Arabidopsis thaliana: one gene and its partners. The protein of the gene in region 1 interacts with the protein of each later gene in a pairwise test. Each region holds a gene or a part of one and is shown in the gene's direction. Other genes may lie near its edges.

The links.
Region 2: the proteins of AT5G42190 (region 1) and TLP1 interact in a two-hybrid assay, tested with the Arabidopsis thaliana proteins (3 studies listed by BioGRID).
Region 3: the proteins of AT5G42190 (region 1) and UFO interact in binary tests that used the Arabidopsis thaliana proteins (3 or more experiments, as listed by UniProt).
Region 4: the proteins of AT5G42190 (region 1) and AT5G67140 interact in a two-hybrid assay, tested with the Arabidopsis thaliana proteins (2 studies listed by BioGRID).

Annotation. Positions count from the first base shown.
Region 1 is NC_003076.8:16,852,918-16,857,915, reverse strand, and holds AT5G42190 (E3 ubiquitin ligase SCF complex subunit SKP1/ASK1 family protein), read left to right. Parts: upstream 1-2,174; 5' UTR 2,175-2,399; coding exon 2,400-2,741; intron 2,742-3,247; coding exon 3,248-3,421; 3' UTR 3,422-3,725; downstream 3,726-4,998. Other genes in the region: PER64 (Peroxidase superfamily protein), read right to left, coding at 3,895-4,292, 4,469-4,631, 4,724-4,912.
Region 2 is NC_003070.9:28,878,864-28,885,999, forward strand, and holds TLP1 (tubby like protein 1), read left to right. Parts: upstream 1-2,675; 5' UTR 2,676-3,137; exon of another isoform or gene 3,138-3,854; 5' UTR 3,855-3,877; coding exon 3,878-4,237; intron 4,238-4,333; coding exon 4,334-4,421; intron 4,422-4,501; coding exon 4,502-4,634; intron 4,635-4,727; coding exon 4,728-5,514; 3' UTR 5,515-6,160; downstream 6,161-7,136.
Region 3 is NC_003070.9:11,033,761-11,038,817, forward strand, and holds UFO (F-box family protein), read left to right. Parts: upstream 1-2,231; 5' UTR 2,232-2,419; coding exon 2,420-3,748; downstream 3,749-5,057. Other genes in the region: AT1G30960 (GTP-binding family protein), read right to left, coding at 3,995-4,079, 4,166-4,305, 4,399-4,573, 4,668-4,826. UniProt on the Arabidopsis thaliana protein: Component of SCF(ASK-cullin-F-box) E3 ubiquitin ligase complexes, which may mediate the ubiquitination and subsequent proteasomal degradation of target proteins. Considered as a meristem identity factor required for normal growth of the young floral meristem.
Region 4 is NC_003076.8:26,792,091-26,796,893, reverse strand, and holds AT5G67140 (F-box/RNI-like superfamily protein), read left to right. Parts: upstream 1-1,524; 5' UTR 1,525-1,680; coding exon 1,681-1,769; intron 1,770-1,875; coding exon 1,876-2,022; intron 2,023-2,263; coding exon 2,264-2,399; intron 2,400-2,491; coding exon 2,492-2,590; intron 2,591-2,669; coding exon 2,670-2,885; 3' UTR 2,886-3,014; downstream 3,015-4,803. Other genes in the region: AT5G67150 (HXXXD-type acyl-transferase family protein), read left to right, coding at 1-1,014; AT5G67130 (PLC-like phosphodiesterases superfamily protein), read right to left, coding at 3,245-3,445, 3,554-3,640, 3,713-3,936, 4,023-4,326, 4,419-4,517, 4,599-4,736.

The DNA of each region.
Region 1 (4,998 bases):
CAACAGAAATTAAATTAAAAAGTATAATTACAGAAGCATCAATGCATAAAATCTCTAGAGCTGATTATGTATAAAATAATCGACGGTACTAAAAAATTGCAACAACTGATTTTTTCGAGAAAAAAAATTGACTGCTATAAAATTGACCATGTATTCAGTTATTCAGACCTGGTCTTGTCTTGACTCCTTCAGCATAGCTGAGAAAATCCATGTTTACGGTCTAGTGAACAATATTTGGGTTCACTTATTAGGTAAATCTTTTTATTTATTTCCTCTTATCTTAAGTTTTTAACCAATCTGAATTCGTTATTTAATAAAAGAAATTTAAACTCATTTAATTATAAAATTTAAATCATAATCATTTTTTTATAAACTCAAACTCATATATAATTTAGTCTAATTATAAAATCTAAATCCTAATTTTTTTATTTCAGCCAATCAGAATATACTACCTAATAAAAAGTTAAAAAAACTTATTTAATTATAAATAAAAAATCTAAATTCTAAATAAAAAGTAAAAAAAAATTAAATTCTAACCACTTTTTAAAAAATTCAAACCAAAATGTAATCTCGTTTAATTATAAAATCTAACCCTAGTTCTTCTTTGTACACCCAATTCGATATTTAAACTCTTTTAATTGCAAACTCTAAATCTCTAACCGTTCTTTCTAAACCCAAACCGATATTTAACATTGTTTAATTATAAAATCTAAATCCATTTATAAAACCAAACAGACGTTCAATCTCGTTTAGTTATAAAATCTAAAACTGTTTATAACTCAAATCGATATTTAATAGTAAAATCTAAACTTCAATCCTTTCTTATAAACCCAAAACTATATAAAATTTTGTTCTTGTGGCAAATTAGATTTTATAATAAAATAAATTTAATTTATTTATTAGGTATAAATTCTAATTTAATGGAATAAAAAGGTGAATAAAGGGGTGAATCTAAATATATTTTTTATTGGCCCATATTTTTTACTAGGATAATGGCCGATTATGCTTTGGTGAAAATTTAGATAACGCAAGTTAGATTTTTCTCACTTTATTTAATAAGATAAGATTTTAGCGGGGATGAAATTTTTACAAGCGAATCCCTCAATATTTCACTTATGTTCGTGGATGATAGCTTCTTTTTTGTAAAACGACAAAAAAAACAATGCGTCATTGGATTTGGAATACTAAAGAACTATGAAGAGGTTTTTGGTCATGAGTTGACAACTCGATGATGGACAAACTTATGGCAATCTTCGAAATCACTAATATAGGGGACATGAACAACTACTTGAGATTATCGAAAAGTTTAGGAGGATCTAAGACAAAAAAAATTTACTCTTTTAGAAAATATTTACATAATAGAATAAATGGTTGGTTTACAAAATTCTTATCTAAAGATGGCAAAGAAGTATTGATTAAATCAGTACCAGATGCATTGCTTACTTATGTATTGTCTTGTTTTAGATTACCAAAATCAGTAACATCAAAACTTAGGAATGTAGTAACGAAATTTTGGTAGAGTTCCAATGGACGAACAAAACGTTTACAGTGGAAGGCATGAGATAAATTTTGTCATAGTGCCTCTCTGCTCTCCCTCTCCTCCTCCGGGTGCCTCTCTGCTTGCTACTTGGTTCCGTCTCTTCAGTTAGGTCCTCCTCTGCGGTTCAGGTTTCCTTATGAGTTTTTTGAGTCCTTGGGTCGTTCCCTCTTCGTTCTTTTGGTTTTTGGGCCTGCTATTTTTAAGTTTCAGCTTCTTTGGTTGTTTTGGGCTTTGCTCTTGTTGTCGGGCCTGCGCGCCTTGGATTTGAGCTTTTGGATGTGTATGTTTTCGAGCCTGTGTGCTTATGTTTGGACACTTGTCTTATAACTTGTTGTTTGTTTTAATGGAAATTTAAAATTAAAAAAAAATAAGAAAAATAAAATAAAAAATAAATAAGTTTTGTCGTAACGGTGGACTTGGTTTCTAGAATGTGGATGATTTTAATACAACTTAATTAGCAAAACAACTGCCGCAATTGATTATGATTCTTAACTCTTTATTTGCAAAGATGTTCAAAGAAAAATATTACCGGAAATCAAATCACATGAATCCAATTAAATTATACACACCATCCTACAAATAGAGGAGTTTAGTATCTGTTCAACTACTGATTAATCAAAAGTTGATGAAAAGAGTTGAATTAATTTTCAGGTGTTTTCCTTTGAAAGAAAAAAACAGAGAAAATGTTTTAAAATGAAAATTTATAGGTAAAAAAAGTCAATTGGGAATCGTTAGATCTCACTGGTTCAATGTGTGAGCCGGGCTTTAAAAACATTTTGATTTAACCCATACACACATCTCTCTGTTCCACGATTCTCTTCCTCAGCCTCCACGTCGTCTCTAAACTCAGCAAAAACCAATGTCGACGGTGAGAAAAATCACTCTTAAGAGTTCGGATGGCGAAAACTTCGAAATTGACGAAGCGGTGGCGCTAGAGTCACAAACCATCAAACATATGATTGAAGATGACTGTACCGATAATGGTATCCCTCTCCCTAATGTCACAAGCAAGATCCTTTCGAAGGTGATTGAGTACTGTAAGAGACATGTCGAAGCTGCTGAGAAATCCGAAACCACGGCCGATGCTGCTGCTGCTACTACTACCACCACCGTCGCGTCGGGTTCTAGTGATGAAGATCTCAAGACTTGGGATTCTGAGTTTATCAAAGTTGATCAGGGCACTCTCTTCGATCTTATCCTGGTTTGTCAAACTTATTTTTAATTGCTTTGGTTTTCAAAGTTTGCGATTTCATTTCTAGGGTTTGAGATCTTGATTTCTGTTTGAGATCTAATTTTAGGGTTCAGGTTTTGTTTAGATTGCCAATTTCACAGTTTAAACTATGATCATGTCTGATTGAAATATATGGTCTGATAGAGAAAAAAGTGTCAAGAGATTTCTTTTGAGTTTGTTGGATTTGTTTATAGCTGAAGACCACTTTACATCCAAACTCATGTTTTTTATGTTCTGTCTTAAACATTGGATAATGTTTAATTTCTTTGGGATTTGCTTGAATCTAGATTTGTTTTTCTGAGAAACCTTTTGGATGCTAACATGACATGTTTTGTTCTGTCTGAAACGAGTGATAAAGTTTATTTTCTTTGGAATCGTAGTTCAATATGTTTGATTTGCTTGAACAATAAAGTTCCATTTTTATCTGAAAGTTGAAGAGCTTGAATCTAAGTTGGTTTCCCTGTGACACCTTTTAGGCTGCTAACTACTTGAATATCAAGGGACTGTTGGACTTGACTTGCCAGACAGTGGCTGATATGATTAAAGGAAAAACCCCAGAAGAAATCCGTAAGACGTTCAATATCAAGAACGACTTCACGCCAGAGGAAGAAGAAGAGGTTCGCCGTGAGAATCAGTGGGCGTTTGAATGAAGAAAAATGAAGACCTAGGTTGCTGTCATGTCCTCGACCCATTTGTGTCTCCCTGTCTTATCTTCTTTCTTTGACTATATATCCATTCTCTTCTACGTGATGGTCCAGCTAAGACAGTGGGTCGGATGTTAATGTTATGTTATGTATGTCAAATTAAAGACTTAACTACGAAACATATTGAAGTTGTTGCTCAAAAGAGAGTGTTGGTCTTCTATTGTTTCGTCAATCATTTAGATAGGTTGTGAACACAAGTGATAAGATTTGTCTGCATGTTCTTAGAAAGAGAAAAGATCTTATTACTTGTAAATAAATGCCTATACAAGCACACACGAGAGATTGATAGATAATTCTGATACAAGAACCTCTGCCTTAATCTTTAGAAAGGCCCATTCACAAGTAATCAATGTGACGAAAGAAAACGAAAGACATAAAAATGTAGTAGTAACGTGATGTTGGAAGCGTAGATTGAGATTCTAGCGAACCCTTCTGCAGTTAAGTCTGACCTCATTGCCATTCCCACTGATACTACTCATCTTGATCATCGATTTCACAAAAGCCCTCTCGAACTCTTCGTTGGAATTTGCATATTTGGCCACGAGTTTCTTAGTAGAGGGTACTGCAAGAAGCGATTCGTCGGATGAGAATAGTGACTTGCCTTGGATAAGCATCTTGTAGTAGATATTGTCGAATGACGTCACGGTTCCATCCATGTTCGATCCAGCATTCTTCACCGTGTTATGGGCCGGGCACACTCCCTCCAACCTGGCTGCGAATGAGGGGTTTAGTGTTGGGTCAACCTCCTTTTGTGTGTTGAATTTATGGAGCCTATTCTGGAACGATGAACAGTGGGCGAATCCTAGTGTATGACCTCCTGCCATTTCATTCAACATTCGGAATTTAAACCATTATAAGCATTGGAACTATATTTGTCTTTTGCCAATTATTTTTAAAATTTAGATTTATGTTGCATCTTTTAGCATAGTTTAAGAAAAAGATTTTAGAAATCTTTGTAAATATATTTTAAGTGAGTGCGAGAATGTTTAATACCAGAGAGAGCAACAAGATCATGCATAGAGAGGCCTCTTTGGCCAAAATTTTGACGCAATTGAGAAATGTTGAAAGTAGGAGCTGGTAGTTGTCTTGTTTCTATTGCCTTTGATATTCTTCCATCTTTTCTCCCTTTTGGCACTGCCCATGTAGGCCCTCCTGACTATAGTAACATCCACAAATAATATTTTAGGTGGATCATTAGAATCATCAAATAAAAGTAGTACTTGGAATTTGAGATGGAGAGAGACTTACGAGAGCGACAGCATCTCTTGCCGCAAGTGAAAGAATGTCGGCGCAAGAGACGATACCGGGACATTGTTCTTCTAATGCCTTCTTTGCATTGTCAATCACATAAAATGCATGGAGTGAGATGTTAGGAGGTCCATCTTTCTCTGCTTTGTTCTTCCCCTTAGAGTCTAAGAGAACTGAGCCATCACATCCCTTTAATGATCAAAAGTATCACCAACAACATTATTTAGAGTATAAAGACATAAAAAGACCGAAAGATGACAACAATGTTGTGTGTA
Region 2 (7,136 bases), on another chromosome or scaffold:
GCTTCTTTTCCTCCACTCTCTAGTGTCAATGATTTTGTACGCTAGCTGGGTTTCACAATTATCCAACTAAAAATGATTTTTAACTTTTGGGCTTTTACATATTAACACGGCCTTATGATAAGGCCCAATACGTTACCTTTCAAATCCAGTTATTATCATCCCGAATAAATATGTACTTTAGAGTTTGAGCCCAACACAATTTTAGACAACAAACAAAAAAGAAATAAGTTGATGTTGAATATATATATATGAGTACGAAGATGAACTTGAAAATTGAAATCATCAGTTGTTTGAGGGCTTTATTAAGTTACCATGATAATTAACAAAAAGTCAGTTTATAAAAAAAAAAAAAAAAAAGTCATTCATCGATGGTAAAGTTCCTTCTTCTTATAGTCAAGATCTTTAATGAAGAATTGTGCATGGACCAACTCGATCACCAGACGTATATAACCTGGTTTGATTGTGAGAGAACCTGGTTTGATTGTGAGATTCCTCATGTGGAGTTCAAAAAATCATCATGATGAAAATTGACAAAATTGTTTAAGGTTATATGTTCCTTAACATTTACGAAATTATGCTTCGTATAGGCATCTCGCTTTAGAGATTCTTTTAAGCACACACACATACTATGTACGTGTCTGTATGTATGTTGATCAAAATTTTAGTAACCAACTTGGTTTTATTATATTCTCTGGCTCTCTGCTGCGTGACATTGAAGCCCTCCTGATCTTAGGTGAATAGGTCTCACTCGCACGCACCACGTTTATTTCTTTCTTTTCGGTATTTAAAAATACTACTAATCATTCAACCTGTTTTTGTATACTAGTGGCTTTGCTTTTGGGTTTTGTTCTGTTCGTGCCAACTTTCATTTAAACTATTTAAACACAGTGCAATGATATATTTAGCTACTTTATCTTTCAATTGGTTTTACTTACATTGTTATCTTTGTAATTTCCTATTCCTTACACTACGGCCGGTATTAGTTGTAAACCTGGCTATATTATATTTTAGAATGATATAGCATACCAGTAAGACAGTAAGTACTTTACATTATCATACATAAAGATTAATCGAACATTTTACAGTGATACCAAAATAATATGAATAGTCAACATTTTCATGGGTCTTGTTTACAAAACTGCAAAAATATCTGCAATTTCCTAAGGATTTTCATTTATATTTCTGTCACTATCTCTTTTTTTGTCAATAACATGCATTACAATGAATTTAAACTCGATGGTGACACAATAACAATACTAGTATATATAAACCATTAAACTGCAAATTATAGTTGAATATCACTAGTTTTTCAAATGAAAATGGCGAATAATAGTAAATGGTATTAATGAATAATTTGAAAATGGTAGTTTAGTGGATAAAGAAGACCCCAAAAACTGCCACTAACCATGATTTTCCTTATATTTTCAATTTTCCATATCATATGAGATTAGGCCTCTATCTTAGTCCGAGGGTTTAAAGGTCAAAGTCAACCTCTTCGATGTGCCTTACCTGCCACGACGTATCGCTTTCCAAAATTTCCGATTCTTACAAATCTACAAAATTTATTCTTTTTGTCGTTTTCTTACAAGAATCGGGAAATAGTTGTTTCTAGCTTGCAAATCTTTCACAGCATTGATTCCTACAAAATAAATAGTACCACTCTTGTATTTTAATAAATTGAACACATCTCTTTCTCCACCTATGCCATACCAATGATCTTTTATTTCTTCTTTTCGTATGTGGTTCTTGGTTTATTAATTATCATAATAATAAACAACAGATACTATAGTCGACATATATATTTGTATATGTTTGTTATCGCATCTATCTATAATTCTCAATGTCACTTCTACCAAAAATCGCGAAGTAGTACATGATCAGGGGTATTATAGGTACTTGACACGCCATGTTAGATGGAGATTTTGTCTTTATGACGAGTGTGTGTGTGTTGCTCAACTAATCTCACATCACGGATTAATCAATCTCAGCCGTTCAAATATATAGAATAAATAGCCTTTTTTTTACCTTATCCATTTATCCATATCTATTTGTTGTTCTCACGTAATCAATCTTCCCATTTTTTTACTAAATAATTAATAATAGGTGAAATATATATATATTTTGGTTATGAAAGTTGACAAATAATTAAGAAGTTTGAAGAAATCGACCAAAGCCAAATGATAGTGGAATTCAAATATAAAGTGAAGTCCAATCAAAGGGATATGATTTTGCTACAAAAGGATAGAAAAGCTTTATGAGTTTGAGACTTGTCGTTTCCGCATAGATTTGCACTAATGAACTTATTGTGGCTGGCAGCCAAACACATCTGTGTGACTTTCGATATTAGTAATAAAGAGTTTAAATAGTTACGTTGGTTTAAGAAAAGTTTACAAATTTGATTTCATCTTTGGGCAGATAGCCATCAATTATTTTATTAATCTACATTTAAAGATTGTTTTAAGAGAAACCAAAGTTGAATAATCTCATCAAAGAACGGTAGGTAAACCCTACCAAATTTAACAACCCTTAAAACCATTTTCTGTATTCACATTCATTTTTTGTTATACTCATCATGGACTTTTTTTTTTTGTTTTGGTAAAAAACATGTACATATTTAGATGCTATCAACAACATGAATGACTTACAAGTTAAGAAACAAATCTCTTTTTTTTTTTGGGATAAAAAGAAACATAAATCTTACCAAGAGATAATCTCTACAAAATTGTTTTTTCAGGATATTTCCAAGAAATGAGAGGAGGTCAACGACTAAAAACAACTTGCTGAATATTTAAAAATCTTTTTCTGCTTAGTGGAGGCATTTATTTTACATTAATTTTTATGTTTTAAAAACATAATGTTATTATATAATTAAATTTCTTGCACAAACAGAGAATATTATTAATATATACTGTGAAGAGTAATAAAACAGTTTCGTTTCATTAAATATTTGATTGAATTATAAAAATAGTGAAAAAATAGAAGATGTGTTCGTGTTCGTGGAGCGGAGGACAACGTAGTTGGTTTCCGCGTGCTGTACGAGACAGATAACTTCTACAGAGAGAAACAAAGATCGAGACAAAAAGAAACCCTTAAAGGATTTGAACGGAGAAGACGAGGAAAAACAAAGACACAACTCTGTAAGTTCTGACCCAATTTTTTTTATGTTTTGTCTGGAAAGTTTCAAGATTTGATTTTTGTGGTTCTCTTTACATTTTCTGGGTTTTGTGTAAGCATTTGATGTGTGGAGTGTCTCTCTTTTTGTTATTCGAATTCATTATCAATCTTTTGTGTGTGTTTCATGTAGATTTGCTCAATTTTTAATCTAGATCTAACCAAATTAATTAACTAAAGATTTAGATAAGAAAAGCCCTAATTTGTGATCTACTATATGATCCAGAATCTGGAGTCTTTGTTTCTACTTGATATATGTAAATCTTGAAAGTTTCCTTTTTTTTTTCTTCTCTTCTTGAAGTAGTAAAGACTTTATCTTTTCTCAATTGAATCCAAGAATGATTAGAGGGTTTATTTATTTTGGGACCAATAAACAGACTTTGTTCTTGGGGGCAGAGACTGTTTCTTTCCCTTTTCTTTTTTTTCACTTCTTTAGAAGATTCTTCATTTGAATTCTGTCCTTCAATTTTGAAGTTGTCTTGTTCTCTTTTTTACTAAATGTGAATCAAAAGAATGTTTTCTTAAGTTTTAAAAAAGCCTGTGGTGGTTACTGCTTTTGGTCCATTGATAAGAAGAATCTTCTTTTCTTCTCTTCTCTTCTCTTCTCTTCTCTTCCGTGTCATTGCTTTGTTATTAAGTATCATTCAGAATTTGAATCAAAACTCTACTTTTGTGTCTTGCAGAACCTTTAGAGAGAGAAAAACAAATGTCGTTCCGTAGCATAGTTCGTGATGTGAGAGATAGTATAGGAAGTCTATCGAGGCGTAGTTTCGACTTTAAGTTAAGCAGCTTGAACAAAGAAGGTGGTAAATCCCGTGGTTCGGTTCAAGATTCTCATGAGGAACAACTTGTAGTAACGATTCAAGAAACACCGTGGGCGAATCTACCTCCAGAGTTATTACGTGATGTGATCAAAAGACTTGAAGAGAGTGAAAGTGTGTGGCCTGCTCGTAGACATGTTGTTGCTTGTGCTTCTGTTTGCAGGTCATGGAGAGATATGTGTAAAGAGATTGTTCAAAGTCCGGAGCTCTCAGGCAAAATCACATTTCCTGTTTCGTTGAAACAGGTTAGATTTCAATTCTTTACTAATGTCATCATCACATATGTTTTGGTTAGTCTTATGATTGGTTATTTCAAGTAATTTCTTCTTCGGTGTTTATAGCCTGGACCAAGAGATGCAACAATGCAATGCTTTATCAAAAGGGATAAATCTAACTTGACTTATCATTTATATCTTTGTCTCAGTCCTGGTAAAACTTCATTTTCTCTGTTTTTGTTCCAAGTTTTTCTCTGTTCTCCAAAGCAAATCTGAAAGCATGAATATTTGCAGCTTTGTTGGTTGAGAATGGAAAGTTTCTTCTTTCTGCAAAACGCATAAGAAGAACTACATACACCGAGTACGTGATCTCTATGCACGCCGACACCATTTCGAGATCAAGCAATACCTACATTGGCAAAATCAGGTAATAGGAAAGACTTTGCCTAGTTATAAGACATTTAGAAAGCGAATGTGCTAATGTTTCCGGCTTAACGCGTGATTATCTCCTCTTTGGCAGGTCTAATTTTCTGGGGACGAAGTTTATAATATACGATACACAACCAGCATACAACAGCAACATCGCTCGAGCGGTCCAACCGGTAGGTCTTAGCCGCAGATTCTACTCAAAGAGAGTCTCTCCCAAAGTACCTAGTGGGAGCTACAAAATTGCGCAGGTTTCTTATGAGCTAAACGTTCTTGGTACCCGTGGTCCGAGGAGAATGCATTGTGCGATGAACTCAATTCCCGCCTCTTCCCTTGCGGAAGGCGGAACTGTGCCTGGACAGCCCGATATCATTGTCCCGCGCTCTATTCTCGACGAATCGTTCCGCAGCATTACCTCTTCGTCATCGAGAAAAATCACTTACGATTACTCGAATGATTTTAGCAGTGCACGGTTTTCCGACATTCTTGGCCCGTTAAGCGAAGACCAAGAAGTGGTATTAGAAGAAGGGAAAGAGCGGAATTCGCCACCACTTGTGCTTAAGAACAAGCCGCCGAGGTGGCATGAACAGCTTCAGTGTTGGTGTTTAAACTTCAGGGGACGTGTAACAGTCGCATCAGTTAAGAACTTTCAGCTCATTGCAGCAAACCAACCACAGCCTCAGCCTCAGCCTCAACCGCAACCTCAACCCCTAACTCAGCCGCAACCGTCTGGTCAGACCGATGGTCCCGACAAGATCATATTGCAGTTTGGGAAAGTGGGAAAAGACATGTTCACGATGGATTTCCGGTATCCGCTCTCTGCGTTTCAGGCTTTCGCTATCTGTTTGAGCAGTTTCGACACAAAACTTGCTTGCGAATAAGTCAAAAACTCAGCTTTGTATGTAATGTTATCAGATTTGCTTTGGAGATTCTTGTTTTGTGGTGTTTTATTTTCACCGAGAATCTCATAATTAGATTTGTTTCAAGCTTTCATTGCTTATGCTGTTTATTGGTGCAACCAAAAAGTTTATTCGAGTTTGGTTTTTCTCCATAGTTTGATTTGTATTCATAACGGTCAAAAACATAAAACGAAAATAACAATAAATCATTAAGAAGCATTGGTTATTGAAATATATGATATATCTCCGATTTTCACATTGATAACAAGTTTGATATTAGAAAAAAAAGGATAATATATAAGAACAAAAAATGGACAAACTGTTTTATGTAAAACATCAAATTATGTTAAGGGCAGGAAAGGAGAGATGAGAGAGCAAATGACAGACACTGAGAAGTGAGCACACTGCTTGCCGACTTGAGGTCAGAGCAGGTTTTAGAAAACGGCAAGCATTCCTTGTTTGGAAAAGCTAGATGGCATATAACCAGCGTTATTTGTTACCACGGTGGTACGTACGGACCGACGCGACTTCCCGTTAGAAGAAACATCGGATGATATGAAACACGCCCTCACGTATGTGAAAGACAGAAATTTCAATGGCTGTCTTCGAGATTTATAGTTACTTTTTCGACATTTTTAATTGTATTAGTTGTAGATTATATTAGTGTCAAACTATTGTATTATATTCATCTAGAATTCTATAGTTTAAAAGACCAATCGTCTGTCAATAAGGTGTGAAGAGTCCATCAAGTAGAGAGATCCATCCCACGTTAGCACATCATTTTAAATTTACGTTCTTTATGAAACATTTTGTTCAAGTTCTTGAATAGTTTCGATAGGTGGTTTAAATAAAAGTAATTAATGCCAAGGAAGTATGCTTGTGTTTATTTCCACGAACAAAAGATATGATTCAGCCCTTTTTTGTTGTTAATATATTTATTTGGTGGTCGAATTCGAACTCACAATGTCATAAAAGTTTAGCCAAACTTGTTAATGAATATTGGTGATCTTGTTTTGGAGGTGTGGACCAATCAAACAACAAATCAACCACTATGTGTGGATTTTTGCGAGGAAAATAAAATGATTGGATAATTAAAATAAGAATTGACCTAACTACGATAGTTATAGTTTAATTAACCAAGTTATGTGACATAATCCATTTCTTAAAGTATAATTTCATCTCATCTTGGTGATCCAAAAGGCAAAAATGTATTTGAAGGGCCATATCGGATAGTCGTCTTTAAAAGGGTCAATGACTCAATGTGGCTCAGTTCTAGTTGCCGCTTTTGATTAGTAAAGATCAGTAAGATTTTAATTTCATTTTCTAAACAGATATCTGATAAGTGATAAGCTAAATCATAAGACTAATTTGGTCTATAAAATTGTACTATTTTCCTTGGTCAGACATGATTCGTTTTCTTTTGGACCTTTTTGAAAACAACATTAAGATTATTTTCTTCTTAACCGATCTTAATCAAGAAAGTGTATTATGAATCTTAGTTTGCAAATGACATATTATCCTTTATCGAGCACGTCAATATTGAACGTCAAATTAATCACGGTATGAGGTTTATGTATGTGTTTAAATATATTGTCAACTAGCTA
Region 3 (5,057 bases), on another chromosome or scaffold:
GTAATTCAAAGTTAAACAAAACCTAGTTGGGAAATGGGAAGATAGATGATTTGATAAAAACAAGACACTGTTTGGTTTCAGAGACTTCCTTTAGCATCAAAACACAAACAAAAGCGAAGCCTCTTGAGTTACTGCAAATAGAGAATATTATTACCCTTTTGCGACTTGTCAGCTTCAGATATTCTCACTTGTATTATTATTTTCACGGTAAACAATGCCTTAAATAAGAAACCCTGATTGGACTTTTGATCTGACTCTACTCTTCACTCTTTCTTCTTCTTTATTTTCAGTCATGATGTCTCTCTAACCCTAATCTCAAAAAATCCAAACTCCTTTTATTTATTTCTAAACCTTGATTATAGCTAGCAATGATTAATATAAGAATTTTTTTTCTGGATAAAGAATTAATTAGAAATTGAGTTGTAAATGTTTTGTGATGTCTAAAATTCTTTTGTTTGCAAATTAGATGTAAATTGATATATTTGAGATTTGTATGAAAGCTAGTTTTATTTTCCCTAAACAAGAAGTTCATTATCTTGGACTTGGAGGTTTTAGAGTTTGAAAGAGTTTACAATTTATAAGAAAAAATAATCACTATATATATATATATAGTGTATATAATGAATTGTTTCACATTAAATTGCAACAACATCAAATAAGGGTAACATACTAACATATAGTTTGTTTGTTTACTCTTTAAAAAAAGGGGATAAACTAAGAGCTATTTCTGCTATAATTTAGGAACAAACTGGATCACATGACAAAAATGCATCATAATTCATATTAAATTTTGTGTATATCTATTTCTCATGTTTAGAAATAACATTCTTGTGTGTTATACATGTTATCAGTTTTTCTTCCTAGATGGAAGTTTTATTGTTGGAGTCTTTTAAAACCATACTCACTATGTTCCTCTTTATTTGATGTTTTGGATTTTAGATAGAAATTAATAAAAAATATGTTTTCTATTTTTATAAAATTATTTTTTTGTTAGTTTAGTAATTTTATTTTTCTTTTTTTATTATTAGTCACAAGCAAAAATAATAACAATATTTTTATAAAACATTAATTTTGGTCGAACAAGTAAAAATAACTCAAAACATCAAATAATTAGAAACTAAAAAAGTAGATATTGTCAAATTTTGTGTTGAGTTCGAATAAGATAATGTGGTCTCCTCCAACAAAATTATTTAGAATAAATGCACTTCTATGACATTAGAGAACCAACTAATTTATTTAGAATAAAACACACATATATATTAACATATAAAGTAATTCTAATTGGCTTGATATAATATATAAGTAAAAAAATGATCTTAATAATCTCTAGTTTTCTTGGGTTGATCTCCACGAGTACAATTTGACTGACCATTATAGAAGTTGAGAAGCGTGCATGTAATAAAAGTTGTATATTACAAATTAGAGAGGAAAAAGAAAGAAAGAAAAAAGATTTGAAGATGTGATCAAGTGTGAAAAGTATTGGAGTAGTCTCCAAATTAATAATTTCGATGCTGGGCATTGACAAGATAACTCTGAAGCTCTCAACTTTAAGACCATCACTTCCTCTGCCACCATTTTCACGTTTACCCAAACACACACATATACAAACAAAATTTTGTTAGTCAATAATTATCACCAAACTGGGGTTATAACAAGGCTTTTGGATACTTGTGCTTGTTGATGTTCTAGGTTCGTATGATAACAAAGTACATCCGTTATATATATTCGAAACACACTTTAATATTAAAAATATATATCCAATTTTCTTGTGAAATTTAGATTATTTGGAATTAAACCTATTTCTCTTGTCTTGGCCACTTGACCGGTTTAGTTTTTTAGACGTATTTTATTATTTCTGTTTAGAAAATAACAACATATATCAACTGATTTTTTACTTCCAATCTCTTTTTGTCAGCACACAAATAGAAAAACGTCTGTAAGCTAAGCTATCAACTAAAACATTAACATATATAATCTTTTACGTTGATAGAAAATAAACATAAATTTCTGAGTTATTTTTTTTTTGGTTGGTGTGTCACTACTTACTTACTACTATACCTTTTTAACAATAAAGAAACACTATTTCTTTTTCTATTCAATATAATATATGTTTTCTATTTGTATAAATCCATTACCTTTGTTTGTTTTATACCAAATGTTCTTTATATATAAGTATATGCCACCTTACTCTATTGAAGTCAAGAACATATCAAAAACCCATGCAAGAAGCTCACAGAGAAAGACCAAACACTTTTGTCTCTTTCTTCAAAACTTTTACATATGATCTTTGCCTCTTTTCCTACAATGGGTTTTGCATAACTTTCACCAAAACCCTCCTCAAAAGCCCTTCACATATTCCCAACACAAGAAAATAAACTCTAAATCCACTTTCACCAAATCTTTTCATTTTTCAGCTAAAATGGATTCAACTGTGTTCATCAATAACCCATCTTTAACCTTACCTTTCTCTTACACATTTACCAGTAGCAGCAACAGTAGCACAACAACGAGCACCACCACAGACTCAAGCTCCGGTCAATGGATGGACGGTCGGATTTGGAGCAAGCTACCACCTCCTCTTCTTGACCGCGTCATTGCTTTTCTTCCACCTCCGGCGTTTTTCCGGACACGTTGCGTCTGCAAGAGATTCTACAGTCTACTTTTCTCCAACACCTTCCTCGAGACATATCTACAACTACTTCCTCTCCGACACAACTGTTTCCTCTTCTTCAAACACAAAACCCTAAAGAGTTACATTTACAAGAGAGGAGGAACAAACGATGATGATTCCAATAAAGCTGAAGGCTTTTTGTTTGATCCTAATGAGATCCGATGGTACCGTCTCTCTTTTGCTTATATCCCTTCAGGGTTTTATCCTTCAGGATCATCAGGAGGGTTAGTGAGTTGGGTCTCCGAAGAAGCTGGTCTTAAAACCATTCTCTTGTGTAACCCTCTTGTCGGATCCGTGAGTCAGTTGCCACCAATATCAAGGCCAAGGCTTTTCCCTTCGATAGGTCTCTCGGTAACACCAACCTCTATTGATGTTACTGTCGCTGGAGATGATCTCATATCTCCTTACGCTGTGAAAAACCTCTCATCGGAGAGTTTCCATGTCGACGCCGGCGGATTCTTTTCCCTCTGGGCGATGACTTCTTCTTTGCCACGGCTTTGTAGCTTGGAATCTGGTAAGATGGTTTACGTGCAAGGCAAGTTTTACTGTATGAACTATAGCCCTTTTAGCGTTTTGTCCTATGAAGTTACTGGAAACCGGTGGATCAAGATTCAAGCTCCGATGAGGAGATTTCTCAGATCTCCAAGCTTGTTAGAGAGCAAAGGGAGGCTTATTCTTGTAGCAGCTGTTGAGAAAAGCAAGTTGAACGTTCCCAAAAGCCTACGACTTTGGAGTTTGCAACAAGATAACGCCACATGGGTCGAGATCGAACGGATGCCTCAGCCGCTCTACACACAGTTTGCAGCAGAAGAAGGTGGAAAAGGATTCGAGTGTGTCGGAAATCAAGAGTTTGTAATGATTGTGTTAAGAGGAACCTCGTTGCAGTTGCTGTTTGATATAGTGAGAAAAAGCTGGCTGTGGGTCCCACCGTGTCCTTACTCCGGCAGTGGTGGCGGTAGCTCAGGTGGCGGTTCAGACGGAGAGGTCTTGCAGGGTTTTGCTTATGACCCGGTGCTTACTACACCGGTGGTTAGTCTTCTTGATCAGTTAACACTTCCATTTCCTGGAGTCTGTTAGTTTTTAGACTTTAAGATAAAGAGACTACTTGTGGTTTCCACTTCTGACGTTAAGACTGCTTGTTGTTTTCTCAAAATTCTGTTTCTTTTATCTTATTACTGTCTGTATGTAGTAAGTTTATATTTCTAATGTCAAATGTCTAATCTTTGACAACATGTCAACAACATATACAGACAGATTTCTAATTGCGTACAATCCAATCCTAAATCCATCAAACTCAAAAACATAACCCTTGGGAGAATGGTTTCACTTGAGCTTAACCTGGAGAATGAGATGAACTTTGCGGTTCATTATTCTCCTGAGTTCTTCATTGGCCTCAATTCCTATCCTCCTGCAAAATTAGCATCAACATAAGATCATCCTTGAGTCATTGATTAGTCAAAAGAATGAATTATGAACGATCTTGTATGCTCTTACCCGATCTTGCAACCGCCCTTGCCTACAAGAATCTTGCGTTGGCTAAGTTTAGGAGTGATGAGATGCTGTTCAATTCTAAGAGACCCGTCACGCAGCTCTTTCCAGTCCACTAGACGGTGCTCCAGACCATATGGTATTTCCTACAATTTGTTTCAATCAATCCTGTAATTTGTCATCTTGGAATAGACGGAAACTGATACAAAATGTTATACTAGTAGAGGTTGTATTATTACCTGATGGACATGGTCTAGTAATCTCTCCCTAACAACTTCAAGAGAAATGTTCTTCAAGACTTCTTCACTCATCGTGAATGCATCTTCTTCCCATGGTTTTTTAACAGCCTGATCCATTAAGTATTGGGAAAGATCTTTCACTCCTGATCCCTTAAGTCCCGATATCATGAAGTATCTAGAAAACCAAACAGGGAAAAAGCACATTTCAATCAATTCGAAGACTTCCCCGGTAATTGTTTTTAAACTGAGTCTGGTATATATATATCCACCTTTCATATGCCGGAAGATCTTGGAACTCCTCAGCAACCTTTAATAGATCCTTTTTCTTCTCAACCAGATCAACTTTGTTCATACATAAAACGCGCTTTTGTTTCGGATTTTCTTCTTCTCCCATGTATTTGATCAAGCGTACCACTCTTGAATCGGGACTAGATAAATCAAAGAGAAAACAGAATTCACAAACTACAAAATAAGTCTAAGAGAACTCTATTTCTACTTGTAATTAATGAAAAACCACAGTCATGATGCCTTCTTCAAAAGAAAGAAATAGATGTGTCTTCCCATCGGTTTACGGTTCTCAAGCTTATGGATAATCTCGGAGAGATGAACAAGATATGAAAGATATCGAAACAGAGAAGCTAGAAATAATAATCCCACCC
Region 4 (4,803 bases), 9.9 Mb from region 1:
TCGGTTAGTGATGTTTTAGAACCTGTTGATAGTAATGTCCCTGAGTTCTTGAATCGTTTTTTCCCGGCGAATGGTGTTAGGAGCTGTGAAGGAATCTCGGAGTCGTTAATTGCGTTTCAAGTAACGGAATTGAAAGATGGGGTTTTTATAGGGTTTGGTTATAATCATATTGTTGCAGATGGATCTTCGTTTTGGAGTTTCTTCAATACTTGGTCGGAGATTTGCTTTAACGGGTTTGATGCCGATCATCGGAGAAAGTTTCCTCCTTTGCTTCTCCGTGGATGGTTTCTCGACGGTATTGAGTATCCGATTCGAATTCCGTTACCGGAGACGGAGACACCGAACCGGGTTGTTGTTACTTCATCGTTATTACAAGAGAAGATTTTTCGAGTCACGAGTAGAAACATCTCTGAGCTTAAAGCGAAAGCTAACGGCGAGGTTGACTCCGATGATCGGAAAATATCGTCGCTTCAAGCGGTTTCAGCGTATATGTGGCGATCGATAATCAGAAACAGTGGTCTGAATCCGGAAGAAGTGATTCATTGCAAGTTACTGGTGGATATGAGAGGAAGACTAAACCCTCCGCTTGAGAAAGAGTGTTTCGGTAACGTGGTCGGATTCGCGACGGTGACGACTACTGTGGCGGAGATGCTTCACAATGGGCTTGGTTGGGCTGCATTGCAAATAAACAAAACTGTTGGGTCACAAACGAATGAAGAGTTTAGAGAGTTTGCTGAGAATTGGGTGAAGAAACCGAGTATATTGAATGCTAAGGCTTTTAGTAATTCTATAACAATTGCTAGCTCTCCTCGGTTCAATGTGTATGGAAACGATTTCGGTTGGGGTAAACCAATAGCGGTTCGAGCTGGACCGGGAAATACCACCGATGGTAAACTCATTGCTTATCCGGGGATCGAAGAAGGAAACATCGAGTTTCAAACGTGTTTATCGTCTAGTGTTTTGGAAAAATTATCGACTGATGAAGAGTTTTTGAAGCATGTATGTGTTGTATAAGTAAAATCAACCAAATCAAATGTACTTTTTTGTGTGTGTCTTGAATAAAGTTGAAGATGTGAAAACAATCTTTGTCAACAGAAATCTATTTAGATAGTTTTCCTTCTTTACTCTTTGTCTTTTAATGAATAAATTAACCTATAAGTAATTTGACAAAATAACTTCTTCTTGCATAAACACATTGAACACGAAAAGTACAAACGTAAGATGAGAAAAGAAAATTACAGATAACGTCATGTCAAATTTAACAATTAAAGTATGTGTTAGTTCACTAACATTTAAATATTTTGTGAAGCAAGCAACACAAAAAATAATGTATTTTTGAGTGAATAAGAAAGATCTTTTATTACGCACCGTAGGCCGTGGCATGTGCCACGTGGCGTACAGAAGAAAAAAGACGGAGTCCTAGAGGTATTCTTCTACGCAAAATCTTGGACCGTGTAATAAAAACATTTATTAAATCATATAAATTAATTTCAAATTTTTTGTTATAACGATTAAAAAATATGACGGAACTATGACCACATCTTCTGCAGTTAAACCATGAAAAAGACAACATCTGCTTCCTCTGCAATTATGAAGAACTAATGATATATACAAACAATTCTTAATACATAAAAATCTTCTACAAATATTGATTTAAGAAGCTCTAAAATCATACAAGTCATGGATGAAGAAGCAGCGATTGATCGTTTACCATTAGACCTTCTTGCATATATATTTTCGTTGGCTACTTCTTTCACCGTTTTGGCCCAGTAAGTGTTTTCATTGATGATCCTTACAAGTTTGATCCTCTCTTTTTTTGATTAAATAAATCATTGTTGTGAGATTGAAGTTTTTGGTGAATTTTGGGGTTTTTAGGGCAAGTGGTGTTTGCAAGAAATGGAGAAAAGCTGTAAATCAATCGATGGCGAGAAGAGAAACTCTGAGCTTTGCTGGTTGGAAAATGGACGATGATTCCACTTCTCGTCTCGTTCATCTTGCTTTCAACCTCAAAGAACTCGACATGTAATCTCTCTCTCTTTCTCTCTGTTTTGCTCTTTGTTTGTTTCTTGTACTATGATCGTACTTGATTTGTCCTTCAATGGCGGATTAAGAGTAAACAAGATTGGTGGGATAGTGGAGATTTGCTGAATTTTTTGGTCAAGTTTCCAACTTTACCTTTAGGGTGTTTGAGATAGGATATTGACTTGGTCAAAAAACAGAACAGAACTATAAACTCTGTTTTTTTCTTCTTTCATATTTGAAGATCTCGAAGCAGATGGGGTTGTCATATAACTGATAATGGTCTTTACCAAATAGCTTCTGCAAGATGTGTATCCAATTTAAACTCTGTCTCTTTATGGGGCATGACCGCCATTACTGATTCTGGTGTTGTTCAACTGGTAAAATCTAACACCGTTTTTTGTGCACTGGAATCTTGAAGATTCCTTTTTTGTTTTAATCATTTCAGAGAATCTTGATTTTGATTTGACAGATTTCAAGAACTTCCTCACTGCAACACCTAAACATAGGAGGAACATTTATAACCGATGAGTCTCTTTTCGCAATTGCAGAACGCTGCCATCAGCTTAAGGTAACAACAATCATCTAACCAAATAATTCTCTCTAGATTCATGAGAATCACGCTTTCGAAATTGGAATCCTTTATGCAGACAATCGGAATGTGGTGTTGCCGTCATGTGACAGAGAGAGGCCTTCTTGTTCTTGTAAACAAATGCAGAAAACTCGAATCCATCAACTTATGGGGAACTAGAGTTCCTGTAGATTGCTTCATTGCTTTACTTACCATCAGTCCTGCTCTTCAGATCAAACCCATGGAATTGCTTCTCAATGCTCAGAATCCACCACCGTTGCTGCATGCTGTCTAGTGTTGCTCATCATATTTCTTGTTTGTTGTGTACATAGTAATTCATACAATTGAATCTGCATATATCTTATGTGTTCTCTCATCAATCAACAACATATATATATAAATATTCAGTAAAGTTTCTATTGGAGTAGAATTGTGTCTATATATATATATATATAAGTTGCATAACAATCAACAGAAGCTGAAGACACACATACACAAGATTTCTGCCTATAGCTCTGCAGTCTACAATACAAGAATCAAATCAGAAACTCTTTCTAAGGCAATTCATGTCAACTTAGGCTCTCTCATTCGTTCTAAAGAAGTGATCAAGATTCTCTAACCTAAGAATCTCTCCACGTGGTTTGATTGGTTGTGTCATAGTAGAAATATCAGCAACGGAAGCAATGAGAAGCAGAAGACAACAATGTTGTTTAGTTGGGCCACAGAAGCTAAAGATCTTGAGAACTGAACTGAACCTGAGTAGCTTCCACCTGAGTTGCTTCCAGCCGTTGAATCCATGCTTGGAGTTCTTGTCTGTACAGTAACATTTTTGCATGAACCATAAGCTGCTCCTGGCTGCAACATCAAGAACCAAAATACGGGTGCCGGTTTTAGATAATTTAGGCTTGTAAGATCTTATTTCATACCCATAAGTAACTTTGGCGCGAGTTAATAAGTTAATACCTGGCAAGCAGAAAGAGTTTCACAACCGCAAAGTACCGGTCCATTCATTCTATCCAGAATTTCGAAAACGCCGCCTCCATCACTTCTCTGCAATATTATGGTTTGTTAGCTAGATCTCGTAAAAACAGTCATATTATAGTTATATGATTGATTCAGTACCATGTAGAAGTTAACAGCAAGAAAGTTTGGCATTCTATTCCCTCCTGACTTGAGACAAGTCCCAACCATCTCAGCAAGTGGAGCTGAGTGCTCCTTGCAAGCGTCTTTCTCAACCGGATATGTCGGGAAGTAATTCATCAAGAATAGCGAAGAACTTTTTGAATTTAAAGGTTGAGACTCTTTTCTGTTAGGACAAGAACCTCGCTTCACTCCGGGATCCCCAGCTTTAGACAATCATAAGAAAATGGCAAGAGAAGGTTATTCTCAGAGACAATTTTCATTAAAGATATAAACTGTGTGTAATACGCACATTCATTTTCAACCATGTATCTCCACTGATACGCAACGCCTTCTTCATCTTCTTTGGCAGCAACAGAAGTGAAAACCAGGAGCCTATGATTCTCTTGCACCATGTCAGTCACAGTAGGCCAATCTTCTCCCTTTCTAGGCATTTTCGAAACAGGGAACCAGTATTTGTCCAAACCAGCGTTGGCAAACAGTGTTGATAAGCCTTTAGGTCTGTGCACATAATCCTCTATTATGATGGTAACAATCTCTGTTGGGTTTTGACTCAGAAATGCCTCAACTTCCCTCAGTATGTTAATTGCAGGTTGCTGATTCAAAAAGAAAACAAAGTTCACATTTACCAATCCAATCAGGTTTCAAGCTTTCGATCCAGCAAGGTTAAGCTGAAGATAAAACTTACAAAAGCGGTGAAGTTGAAACATTGCCCTCGAAGCGAATGGCAAAGCCAGATATCATTGTTGAAGTCATACATATCCAGCATTAGCCCTCTAACTCCATTCTAGAACAAAAATATACATTCAAGAGTTTTATCCAAAAAAAGAGGAAACTATAATAAGAGAGTTGGTAATAAGAGCATTACTTGTAGCTGATTAGTAATAGTATCTTCTTGATTGTAAAATGTAATCCTCTCAACACCTGGCAAAAGTGGTGCATTTGCATTGCTAAAGGCATTATGAGTCATCAACCATGTATACTTGTTAAAAGGCAATCCATTGATCTACAAAAAACACACACACAAATTTCATCACCACATCTTCAAAGTTCAAAACTTTTGATACAACCAA